2 linked regions of the Oryctolagus cuniculus genome follow. The protein of the gene in region 1 interacts with the protein of each later gene in a pairwise test. Links are inferred from orthologs where the notes say so. Each region holds a gene or a part of one and is shown on either strand. Other genes may lie near its edges.

Region 1 (5,846 bases):
GGAGTCAAGAGGCCCATCTGGGTCCCAATCCCCGGTTTTATGGCACAGTACTGTGAAATAATGGCCATTCTCAAAAAGCTGCGATAGTGCATTAAAGCATTCAGACAGTGCCAGCACACAGCAACTGTCACTAAATGACAGCTTTTTTTTTAACTGTTAAGACAAGGAGATACTATCACACTGTTAATCAATATTTCCCAAAGTATGGTCAGGGAACTAGATACAGAATGACCTACATGTCTGCTGGGGGAAAAAAGATACCATACAACATCCCAACCTATTCCAAACAAAGTTCTCTAAGAATGGTACCAAGGAATGTTCAGATATGGAACAAATTTCCTGGACATGCTTGGGAGATTTTTAAGAATTATTGATCTAGCAGGTCTCACGCCTCACTGGTACCACAGAAAATGAAGCCTGTCTTCCAATACATATTCTCACTATACCAGAATTACCCAGTGCCTGGGGTTTTTGTATTTTGACACTTCTGAACACTGACATAATTAAACTGATAGCTTTGTAGGTGTTAGGCTCACTCCTGATACGATTCCCCCCACAATGCCCTCCCAGGCACTACCTCAACTTTTTTTTCCCCCTCTGACCAGGTCTCAGCTCCAAAGGCCACCTTAGCTTGCAGCCAGTTTTGTCCAATCCCAATTTTTATGTTAAAAATTAAAAAAAAGAAAAAGAAAAATATGACTCAAACCATATGATGTTCACAAAGTCTACCATTTATTATTCGGCCTCTTACGAAACAGACTACTGACTACTTTGTTGAGACTACACTTGTTTTGAAACCTTGGGTCTCATCTCAACACAAATTATTTTAAAAGGAAAAACAACAACAAAAGAGAGAGAGAGAGAGAAACTTGATTAGACCAGAAAATATCCCAAAGCACTGAACCTAACAGAAGAAAGTGCTGCTGCCAGATCCTGAGCTGCACAGATATGGGTGAGGGTACTGCGGAAAGCTCGTGGAGTGCGCGAGTTGTGGTACAGGGGGTTAAGGCTGCCACTCAGGACACTGCATCCTGTAGTGGATTCCTGGTTCTGCTTGGCCCCTGAGCCAGCTTCCTGTTAATGCACCTGGCAGGCAGCAGATGAGAGCTTGGGTCCTCCAGTCCCTGCCACTCACCCCAGAGTTCTGGCTGGGATGTCTGGCTCCTGGCTTCCGCCAGCGCATTCAAGGAGAGAACCAGTGGATGGAATACCTCTGTCTCTGTCACTCTGCCTTTCAAATAAATAAGTAAATCTTTTAAAAGATAAAACCCTTTTTAAATTTTTATTAAAGATCTTACTTATTTATTTGAAGTCAGAGTTACAGACAAGAAGGGTGCGACAGATCTTCCATCTGCTGGTTCACTCCCTAGATGGCCGCAATGGCCAGGGCTCAGCCAAGCCAAAGGTGGGAGCCAGGAGTTTCTTCCAGGTCTCCTACAAGAATGGCAAGATCCCAAGCACTTGGGCCATCTTCTGCTGCTCTTCCCAAGCCATTAGCACGGAGCTGGATCACAAATGAGCAGCTGGGATTCCAACCAGCGCCTGTATGGGATGCCGATGTCACAGGCAGTGGCTTTACCCACAGTGCCACAATGCTGGCCCTCAAATATTTTTTAAAAGCTCACAGAAAAATTAAAAGTATGAGATTACCTCGGAAAAAAAATTGAAATCCATGTGCAGTTTTTTTATAATAGGCATTTACAACTTAAGAAAAAAAATTTTCTTGCACAAAATAAACTCATACTTTGGGTTCTACTTTTCCATAATTTTTTGCAATTCTACTGGGTAACGATCAAGTTGTAGTTGCTTGCAGTCAAAAAGTTTTAAGTTCCTTGGGGAAAAGTCTGGGAGATAAATGGTACAATGGCTTAACAGGTATTTATTAAAACCCATATTAAGCAATTTTTACAGTAAAGGTGCCCGGGAGAAAATAAAACTACATAAAACGGTCCCTGCAGTTTAGAAGTTCATGGCTTATTTCTTTATTGCAAAATGAAAACTACGTATGTGCTGTGCACACTATACAGTAATGTAAGGAGAAAACATTACTATATAGTAACACTATATAGTAATGTAAGGAGAAAACAAGGAAGCATCAATGCAAATACTTTAAAAGCACACAAACAAAATATACTAGTTATGTTCGCAATATATGATATAGATTCTTTACCAAGTCCCTTCGTTTCTTCTAATCTGGGAAACGAGCCCTTTTTTCCTTCCTGTGTGTGCACGTTCATGTGGACATGCGTGTGTATGCGTGTGTATGCGTGTGTGCACGCCTGCACTGGGAGCATAAAAGAAGTATCTGATGCCTCTGCCCTTTCTATGTCATCCATTACTGGCTTCTCATCTATTTAAAACATGCATTCTTTCATCCTGCTCTCCTTTCTAGCAAGAAAAGCATTTAATTCTTATGCAAAAAGAACAATTAAGACAATGATTATCCTATCCTGGAAAACGCTAAAAAGTAGAAAATCAAAACCTTAAGTGCCAATGTTTCCTTTTATCTCCACAAAGCACTAATTTCCAGGGGTTTGAGGGGCTGCTTTGCACAGGCTCAAATGCATGACTTTACAACCCATTCCAACACAAGGAAATGAAAGGACACTTTAAAATGTTTTTTTCTTCCACCCAGACGAAACCCGCTGCCGACACACAAACCACAAGCAGCGCACATAAATAAGAGCTGGTGCAATGCTGCACGCACGTTTGCCTCACACCACAAAGAGGACGGTACATTTGCACACCGAGGTGTGTCAGCTTAGGATGCCATAAAGAAGGGAGATGTGTGTCGATGCGAGTGTATCTGCGTGTCAGGGAGAGAGCGTTGTAAGCAGAAGGGGTGGGACTTGCCAGGAGCAGCTATTTGAGAAAATCCCTCTTTCTTCCCCATTCATTCTTTCCAGCTTTGCTGCCTGGCACGGTCCTTACAAACACTCCCTGGCTTTTCATCCTAAAGAAACCGACAAGCCTTCTGAACTTCCCAGGGTGGTTTCCACACGCGTTATTTTATTATTATTTTAAGCACTGAATCATTCAATATGTGGTTTATACTTAAAAAATAAATAAATTTTTAAAAAGCCGGTCTTCGGAAGACCCTGTGGATTGCAAGCTAAAGAGATTCCTTTGTTGTGTGTCAACTAGAAAATAATAAATTACTCCGTTTCCAGGAATGCCGGCGCGAGAACCATAAATGTGGATCTACCCTCAGCGAGTGCCAAATTGCTTGCTCCTCACGGGAAACGCTGACGACGGCGTCCGCCTCTCCTCCCTGACACCCCCAGGAGGACCCCGAGAGGGCCAGCTTCCTTCACGCACCGCGGCACCCGCCCAGCCCAACACCTCGGACCCCGGCCCGGGAAGCCGCGCGCCGCCAGCTCCCTCCTCCAGACGGAGGAGGGCGAGGGGGAGGGCACGACCAGAGAGCAGAGGAGGAAGGTGGGCGAGTGGGAGAAGACAGAAATGGATGCTGAGGGGGTGGGCGCGACGGGAAGGTAGGGGAGGCGGGGACACGCGGGGGAGCCGGGCTGCGGCTTCACGCGCAAAGCCGGCAGCGGCGCGGGCAGCGTGCGCGGAGGGTCGCTCCTCACCGTTGAACGCCCCTGCGTCCGCGGCCTCCTCTTCCTCCTCCTCCTCCTCCTCCCCGTTCTCGGAGTCGGAGTGCGCGGGCTCCTCGGCGAAGTTGACCCCCTTGCTGGGGGTGCCGCCCCCGGCGGCGGCGCCCGCGTCCCCCCAGGTCCTGCCCTCATGGCCGAAGCGCGCGGCGCCCTTGCGCTCGTTCTCCTGCTGCAGGCGCGTGAAGTGCTGCAGCGCGAACTCCAGCAGGTCGGCGGGCTGGTGCCGCAGCACCTCCACCGTGAAGCCCTGCAGCAGCTCCGTCAGTCCCGCCGGGATCTCGATGCTCATCCTGCCTCCGGGGCGGCGGGCGCCCTGGCGCCGCCCTCGCCCCCTTCTCCGGTCCGGCCTCGGACCCCGCGGCCACCAAAGCTGAGCGCCGACGGCGCGGGCGGCTGCGAGCGCGGCGCACTGGGCCCCGGCGGCCCGGCTGGCCCGGCGCGCGGCTGCTCCGTGTGGCGGCGGCTGCTGAGCGAGCGCGGCCCCGGGAGGGCTGGCAGCATCTCGGGCTCCTCCCGCTCCCGCAGCGGCCGCGCCTCTCCCCCGCCCGGCGCCCCGCCCTCGCCTTCGCCCCGCCGCCGCCGCTGCCGCCGCCGCGCGCGCCCACGTGATCCCCGGAAACCATGGCAACTGCGCGGGCTGGAGGGCGGGCGGGCGCCGAGCTCCCGCCGCTCCCACCGCCGCGGGGCTGAGGACGCCGGCGGGCGCCGGCGCGCTGGCTGGCTGGGAGCGCGGCGCCCGCACGCGCCCGGGGCGTGGGCCCCTGCGAGGCCGCGTCTCGCTCCGCTGGTGGAGCCGCCGTGCGGGGCTTCCCTGGGGGCCGGCGAGTACTCGGATACCTCGGCCTCCGCCCACGGCAGGCGTTTTTCCTCCCTCCTGGCATCCAGTTGGGTCGTCGTGTCCGGTGGGAGACTGGACGGAGAGAGGCTCCCCGGTTTGGGGGGCATCCTTCTTGTTCTCTCACGCGTCCGTTCATCCTTTGCCGGGGCGGTCCCGCGGAGCGCGCCGTGCGTTTCCCGAGACACTTGGCAAAGTTGATGGCCTGCGACCCGGAGAGTGCAGCAACTTGGATAAAATGCCGTAGTCCAGACAGGTAGTCCTCGAGCGGGAGGAAAAAAGCGGTGCTGGATTAGTCGGTTCGTGGTTATTTTAGAACTTTCCCTGTTGCTTTGGTTTGCCATTAGGTCTCCAAGACCTTCAGTATTTCAGTATAAAGAGAAATAGGGCTACAGGTGTGTAATTTTAAAGTACAGCTCCTGGACTCGGAAAGATCTAACGTCTACAGTTCAGAGGAAAGAGGATTGGTCTTTTGTCCATGAAATATTATTTCAATGCCCACTGTTCATTTTCTGCGATGACCATATTGTAAAAATAATTCAAGCAAAATCACTTTTTTCTTTTCTGTTTTATTCACTTTTTTATTCTCCTCCCCCCCCCAACACAAAACAATAAATACATTTCCCAGGAAACTCAAAAGGCCATAGATGAGAGACGAAACAAACTAATCCCTTTTATAAAAATACACTTTTGTTTATGATCCGCCTTCTATTTACTCCATGAGTGAATGTATTTTTCCATTTCCATTTCTTATCAATTTCATACTAATGTTTTTAAGTGTAATAAGTAACTTTTAGCTATAGGCATCAGGCATTTTAACAAATAAAATACTGCAATCCCCGTGTGCCACTTCTTGGAACACAATATTAGTCAGACTCGGCGGCATAAGCATTATTATTTTTACAGGTCCAGTAATCTAAGATGGATTTGTGTCTGTCTGCATTTATAATGATGTTTGTGTTGATTATAATTTGCATTACTTGCATGTGGCAGAAAATGTAGTAGCTTAAACACGATCAAATGTCGTTTCTCTGTGATCACCAGGGCCCAGGCTCCAGCCAGCTCTTTGCTCACTCATCCTCAGTTTGTGCTCCAGGATGCCTGCCGCCCTGCAAATCGTGTCAGCCACATTTCAGCTATGAAAAAAGTAGGAAAGAGAAGGCAACCGTCTCTCCCCTCCCCAGACACTGACCCCGTAAGACAATCCGGGAAGTTAAACATAACCAACTCCTCATCTGTCCTCTGGGCCAGATTCCTCTGCACAGCCCAATGTGCTCTCCTTGCCGTTCCTCCATCAGGAGTTGAAGTCTTGCTTCCCCTCCCCAGGAATGTGAATGGGTTTCTGCATGCTTTTGATGAACAAAACAGGACAAAACTCCTGCCAGCCCTGTGCT
Region 2 (6,093 bases), on another chromosome or scaffold:
TGTAGTCACTGGTTCAAGTCCTGGCTGCTCCACTTTCAATCCAGCTCCTTGCTATACGCCTGGAAAAGTAGTGGAAGATGGCCCAACTGCTTGGGGCCCTGCACCCACATGGGATACCTGGAAGAGGCTCCTGGCTCCTGGCTTCAGCTGGCCCAGTCCCAGCCATTGCGGCCATCTGACGAGTAAACCAGCATATGGAAGATCTCTCTGTCTCCCCTTCTCTCTCTGTAACTCTTTCAAATAAGTAAATAAATATCTTTAAGGGAAAAAAAAAAAAAAAAGAGAGAGAGAGAACAGTGGATTGAGGGGGAAAAAAAGGGGGAGGGGTGTCAGTAGAAGGCTGAGAGAGATAATGTAGAAGACCCAAATCCAGAGGGCTGGATATCATCTTTGGCCAGAGTTTCTACATATATAATTAAGAACTGGAACAAGCAAATTCTAAAATCCCTTCTGGCTCTAGCAATCGGTAAGATTCTAAATTACATTGATACATACAGATTTCAACGTCTGTCTGACACATCTGTTTCACAGTGCAGATTTTCAGCACTCCTGCTGTACTGCCTCCAAAGTACATCAGGGCTTTCCATGAAGACCTCTGACTAAAGTAACATGTCCTATGTTCATTTGTTCTTTTTTTTTTTTTTTTTTTTTTTTTTTTTTTTTTTACAGGCAGAGTGGACAGTCAGAGAGAGAGACAGAGAGAAAGGTCTTCCTTTTGCCGTTGGTTCACCCTCCAATGGCCGCTGCTGCCGGCGCACCGCACTGATCTGAAGGCAGGAGCCAGGTACTTCTCCTGGTCTCCCATGGGGTGCAGGGCCCAAGCACTTGGGCCATCCTCCACTGCACTCCCTGGCCACAGCAGAGAGCTGGCCTGGAAGGGGGGCAACCGGGACAGAATCCGGTGCCCCGACCGAGACTAGAACCCGGTGTGCCGGTGCCGCTAGGTGGAGGATTAGCCTAGTGAGCCACGGCGCCGGCCTCATTTGTTCTAATTCTAACACAATGATTATCTGATCAGGTACTCTGAAATCCTAGTATAATAAACCAATGCTGTGGTGGGGGGGAGCCATTGTAATCCATAAGCTGTACTTTGGAAATTTATATTCATTAAATAAAAGTTAAAAAAAATAAAAAAATAAACCAATGCTGGACCACAAATGAAGTGAAAGAGAACATTTTAAATATGCAGATGAGAATGTTAACTCAGGAATAAGTTTTTTCTATCTTGAATATCTATGCTTCTGTGAAAACACATTTTAGTTCTCCTTGAATATTATACTACATATGTACCCAAATCAGTTATAGTCCTTTTTTTATGTTAATATTTTTAAAAATATGGAATGCTTCATGAATTTGTGTGTCATCCTTGCACAGGGGCCATGCTAATCTCTATCATTCCAATTTTAGTATATGTGCTGCCAGAGCGAGCACAATATAGTCCTTGATATTAACAAAATTTAGAAGGAAGGTGTTGGAGTTTGTGGCATAATGAGTTAAGTCACACTTACAATGCAGAAATCCCATAGCAGAGTGCAAGTTTGAGCTCTGGTCTATCCATTTCTGATCCAGCTCCCTGCTAATGCACCTGACAAACAGAGGAAGATAGGCCTCTGTCTCCCATATGGGAGACTGGGATGGAGTTACTGGCTCCTGGCTTCTGCCTGGCCCAGCACTGGCCACTGCAGCTATTTGGGGAGTGAACTAGCAGACGGAAGATCTCTTTCTGTCACTCTGGCTTATAAATGAATAAGTTTTTTTTTTTTTTTTTAAGGAAAGTGCTTTCATTCAATAATATGCTTGTATCACTATTACTTCTGTTTTGTTGATGGGCAAATCAAGACATGAAGAATCCATTTAGAAAAGTAGAAGCTGTAGAGACACACAGAATTGGGGCTGGCTCATTCAGTCCTATTCAATTTCAGGCAAAATGCTTAACCTCTCTGAACCTAGTTCTTTATCTGTACAATGGGACTAACAATATCTAATTTGTGGGGCTGTAATAATTAAGTGACACAGTAGGTGAAAAGTGCTTAAATGGTACCTGGTTAGTCTGAGTAGGTTTCAGTAAAAGAAAAAAAAATACTATTATTAAAAAGGAGAAGTAACTGGTCAAGTCTCCACACCATCCTTATTTAAAAACAGCCATCCCTTGTGGTGCAGTGGGTTAACTTGTCACCTGCAAAGCCAACATCCATTATGAATGCTGGTTCAAGTCCCAGCTGCTCCACTGCCAATCCAGCTCCCTGCTAATGCGCCTAGGAAAACAGGAGAAGATGGCCAAAGTGCTTGGGCCTCTGCCACTCATTTGGGAAATCCAGAGGGAGCTCTGGGCTCCTGGCTTCTGCCGGGTCCGGCCTTGGCAGTTATGGCCATTTGGGGAGTGAACCAGTAGATGGAAGATCTCTCTCTCTCTCTCTCTCCCTTTCTGTAACTCTTTCAAATAAATAAATCTTTAAAATAAACAAACACAGCCATTCCTAGTAAATATTTTTGCTATAAATGTAGGGCACAATTTTCTAGATAGCTTATTTTAAAATAAATAAATAACATTAGGTTTCATTTAAAAGTTTTCTTACTGGTGACATTCACTGTTTCAATGTCAACACACTAAGACTCAAAATAAAGCATTAGAATCTATCAGAATCTTCCTCCTGAGTCTGAAGAGAGAACAAAGATTCTAGAAGCACTTTCCAAGGAACATTAACCAAGCGTCTCCTATTTACCGTCCACAGGATACTTGATCAAAATTATGCTCTAAGTAACCACTGTCTCACTGTGACTCTAATCCCTCTTTGGACTTCGGGTCCCTTAAATGTAAACTAGGCGTTGGAAAGAGATGGTCTTTTGGGGCTCTTCCATCTCTGATATTCTTTTATTTGAGATACAGAGCTCTGTGCTCCGTCAGGGTTTAGTGGAAAGAAATTTAAAGCACTTATCAAGTATACAACTGGGTTCAAAGTGTTTTCAACTTCACATCCGATTCGCAAGAATGAAGCAGAAAATGAAGATGCTTCTATGTGGGCTTCCAAGATTAAGTATCTGACACACACAAGCCTGCCAAAAGCCAAGCAGGCAGCGCGAAGGAGGACTCCTCCTCCCCTGAAAATAGAAATGTATACAGAATACATATATCCATCCCTGTATCCTTTAGCACTCTGGGTCAGAGACTACTTGCAAACGGATCACTCTCTTTCCCCAGTCCTCTCTCTTTCCCTTGAAGGCTGATCGCTTACACCCACAGCCGCTTCGATTCTCCGCTTTTAAGGAACTCGGATCCTCACAGCCCCGTTCCTTCCGAAACTTGGAGTCTCAAAGCCCGGATCGCGTGCCCACAGAAGCCCCAAGTCTTCTCCGCCAGCTTCGGCCCCTCAGGAAGCTAAGTCTTCGCAGCCCACCCCGGGTCTTCACGGTCCCGCTCCTGCCTCCTAGGAGCCCGAGTCCTCACTACTCCACTTTCACCTCGCCGGAGCCCGTGTCTTCACGCGCCACTCCGTTCCGACCCTTTCTCCTCTCAGGAGCGCGGGTCCTCACAACCCTGTCCCTCTCAAACCTCTCTCCCTTAGGTGCCAGGGAACTCGCATCCGTCCCCGTCTCCTAAGTCCCGTCGGCAGCCCGGACCCTCACAGCCGCGTCTCCTCCGAGCGCGATCCCCTTAGTCCCGTCCCAGGAGCCGGATTCCTCACAGCCCCGTCTCCTCCACAGCCTGGTCCTTCAAACAGTGACCCACTGTGGGTCTGGGTCCTGACTCCCTCCTCCCGCTCTTCTTCCTCTACTGCCAGGGCCCAACACTCACAGGCAGCAGCGTCTATCTCCCCATGATATGCGGAGACTGCCCCAGTGAAGCGTTCGTCTCAGCAGCCGGTCCGACTGCGCGGCCCTCCCCGAGTACTTCCGGCACCGCTCCCCGCCTCCAACCCGGAAACGCGCGGCTCTTCCGGCCGGCGGGCGCGCGCCTGGCTTGCGCAGGCGCACACCGTCCTCCGACATGCGGTCGCGGTGCAGGGCTGGAGCTCAGCTTCGGTGGCCGCCGTTTTTCCCGCGTGCGGTTGTCTGGCAGCGTGGGCGAACGCTGTGTCTTCTGCCCTGGCGTTTCGAACCCTGCCCTAGGTGTTGCTTCCAGACACTGTTTGTATCACCCGGTAGCATCATCGATAACTGATGCCCTTGGATGGCTGTGAGGTCGCCATTTTTGGTTAATGCCTTTGTCGTGGCATCAGGACGGGGGTGTCACCTGGGACTGCAGCATGCTGTGTGTATTTTTTTGGACTCTTGCCGAGGAGTTGGCAACACAGTAACCTGGAGACGACAGACCGGTTCTGCCTGTGAATTTGCAGTGAAGCGCTTATTTTCCGCTAGCAAACAGTGCTAAGCCCCTACCTCCCATATGTCATTTAATTATCTAGAGGGAGCCCGTGAGAGATTAAGCCGGGGTCTGGCTGATAAGGTCAGAGCCTTAACTTGAACTCAGAACTCCCTCAAGCTTGGATGCCTTCAGTTCTTTCCTCTGCCAAATACTTTATGAGAACTGCTGTATTTTTGCTAGTTGTAAGTTTGTAAGCAAGACCTGGTTCCGGCATCCGTGGGTTCAGAGTAAGACGCGTGCGTGCGCGTGCATACACACACACAGGGCTGTGGCAGGAAGGGCTGCCAAGACCGGTGCAGCAACCTGCCCTCTTTGTCTTCCTGTCTCCCACCCTCATCCCACTACACTGCCGCTGGGTTTACAGTAAGAGCTTCGTCACATTAGGCTTTCGGCTGTCTGCCTCGCGTTGTTTCCCTGTCTGCTACATTCATTCTTTTTAGGGTCTGGCATATCAGTTTTTGTTGTTGAACTGTACATCTTTTCAAGGCCCAGTTTGAATGTATGTTCATTCAGCAAATGAGGCTGACGTGGCTCAACAGGTTAAGCCGCCCGTGGCGCTGGTTCTAGTCCCAGCTGCTCCACTAATAATCCAGATCCCTACTAGTGTGCCTGAGAAAGCAGCAAAAGATGCTGCTCTCCTTGGGGCCCTGCACCCGCATGGGAGAGCCAAATGCCAGATGGAGTTCCAGGCTCCTGGCTTTGGCCTGGCCCAGCCCCGCTGCTGCAGCCATGTGGGGGTGAAGCAGCGGATGAAAGATCCCTCTCTCTCCTTCTCTAACTCTGCTTTTCAAATGAAATCTTAAGTTTGTTGAATCTGTGTGCCACGACTTTTGCTGTATGTACTGGTGGGTAAGAAAGACAATATCCTTGTGAGTTTACAATCCAGGGTGAAACAGAGCAAAAGATAAGAGGAGAGAATACAGGAAAAAGCCAGACATCTAGCTGGGCCACGGAGTACTCTGAGCCAAAGCCCTTAGTGAGAAAAAAGCTCCTTCCAGGACCAAGATGGCTAAGGTGACTGAGGCTGAACAGCTGGTGGGAAGAGAATGCAGTGGAGAGTGAACAGTCTTGTTTCAGACCAGACCCTGTAAGTAATGGCGAAGGCTGGACTTTTATCCATTATGCAATAGGAAGGCACTGGAAGGATTAACAGGAATGAAACTGTTTTTGTTTGTTTAGATTTGATTTATTTATTTGAGAGGTAGAGTTACAGACAGAGGTTCAGACAGGGAGAAAGGTCTTCCATCCACTGGTTCACTCCCCAGATGGCTGCAACAGCCAGAGCTGGGCTGATTGGAAGCCAGGATCTAGGAGCTGCTTCTGGGTCTCCCACATGGATGCAGGGGCCCAAGTACTTGAAGCATCATTCACTGCTCTCCCAGGCCACAGCAGGGACTGGATCAGACGAAGAGCAGCCAGGACAAGAACTGGAGCCGTATGGGATATTGGCACCGCAGGTGGAGGCTTAGCCTACTATGCCACAGTGCCAGGCTCATGATATTTTTTTAAGAGATAACACTACAGGAGCCGGCGCTGTGGAGCAGTGGGTTAACACCCTGGCCTGCAGTGCTGGCATCCCATATGGGTACCAGTTCAAGTCCCGGCTGCTCTACTTCCTATCCAGCTCTCTGCTATGGCCTGGGAAAGCAGTAGAAGATGGCCCAGGTCCTTGGGCCCCTGCACCTGCGTGGGAGACCTGCAAGAAGCTCCTGGCTCCTGGCTTCAGATCG

Evidence for each region.
Region 2: the proteins of PRKAR2B (region 1) and TAF12 interact in binary tests that used the Homo sapiens proteins (3 or more experiments, as listed by UniProt). The two-hybrid records come from large-scale screens. The link is inferred for Oryctolagus cuniculus from reciprocal best matches to the Homo sapiens genes PRKAR2B and TAF12.

The regions. Positions count from the first base shown.
Region 1 is NC_091434.1:137,197,725-137,203,570, forward strand, and holds the start of PRKAR2B (cAMP-dependent protein kinase type II-beta regulatory subunit), read right to left. Parts: upstream 4,070-5,846; 5' UTR 3,907-4,069; coding exon 3,591-3,906; intron 3,439-3,590; exon of another isoform or gene 3,217-3,438; intron 1-3,216. UniProt on the Homo sapiens protein: Regulatory subunit of the cAMP-dependent protein kinases involved in cAMP signaling in cells. Type II regulatory chains mediate membrane association by binding to anchoring proteins, including the MAP2 kinase.
Region 2 is NC_091438.1:143,056,441-143,062,533, reverse strand, and holds the start of TAF12 (transcription initiation factor TFIID subunit 12), read right to left. Parts: upstream 3,941-6,093; 5' UTR 3,794-3,940; intron 1,432-3,793; exon of another isoform or gene 1,330-1,431; intron 1-1,329. UniProt on the Homo sapiens protein: The TFIID basal transcription factor complex plays a major role in the initiation of RNA polymerase II (Pol II)-dependent transcription.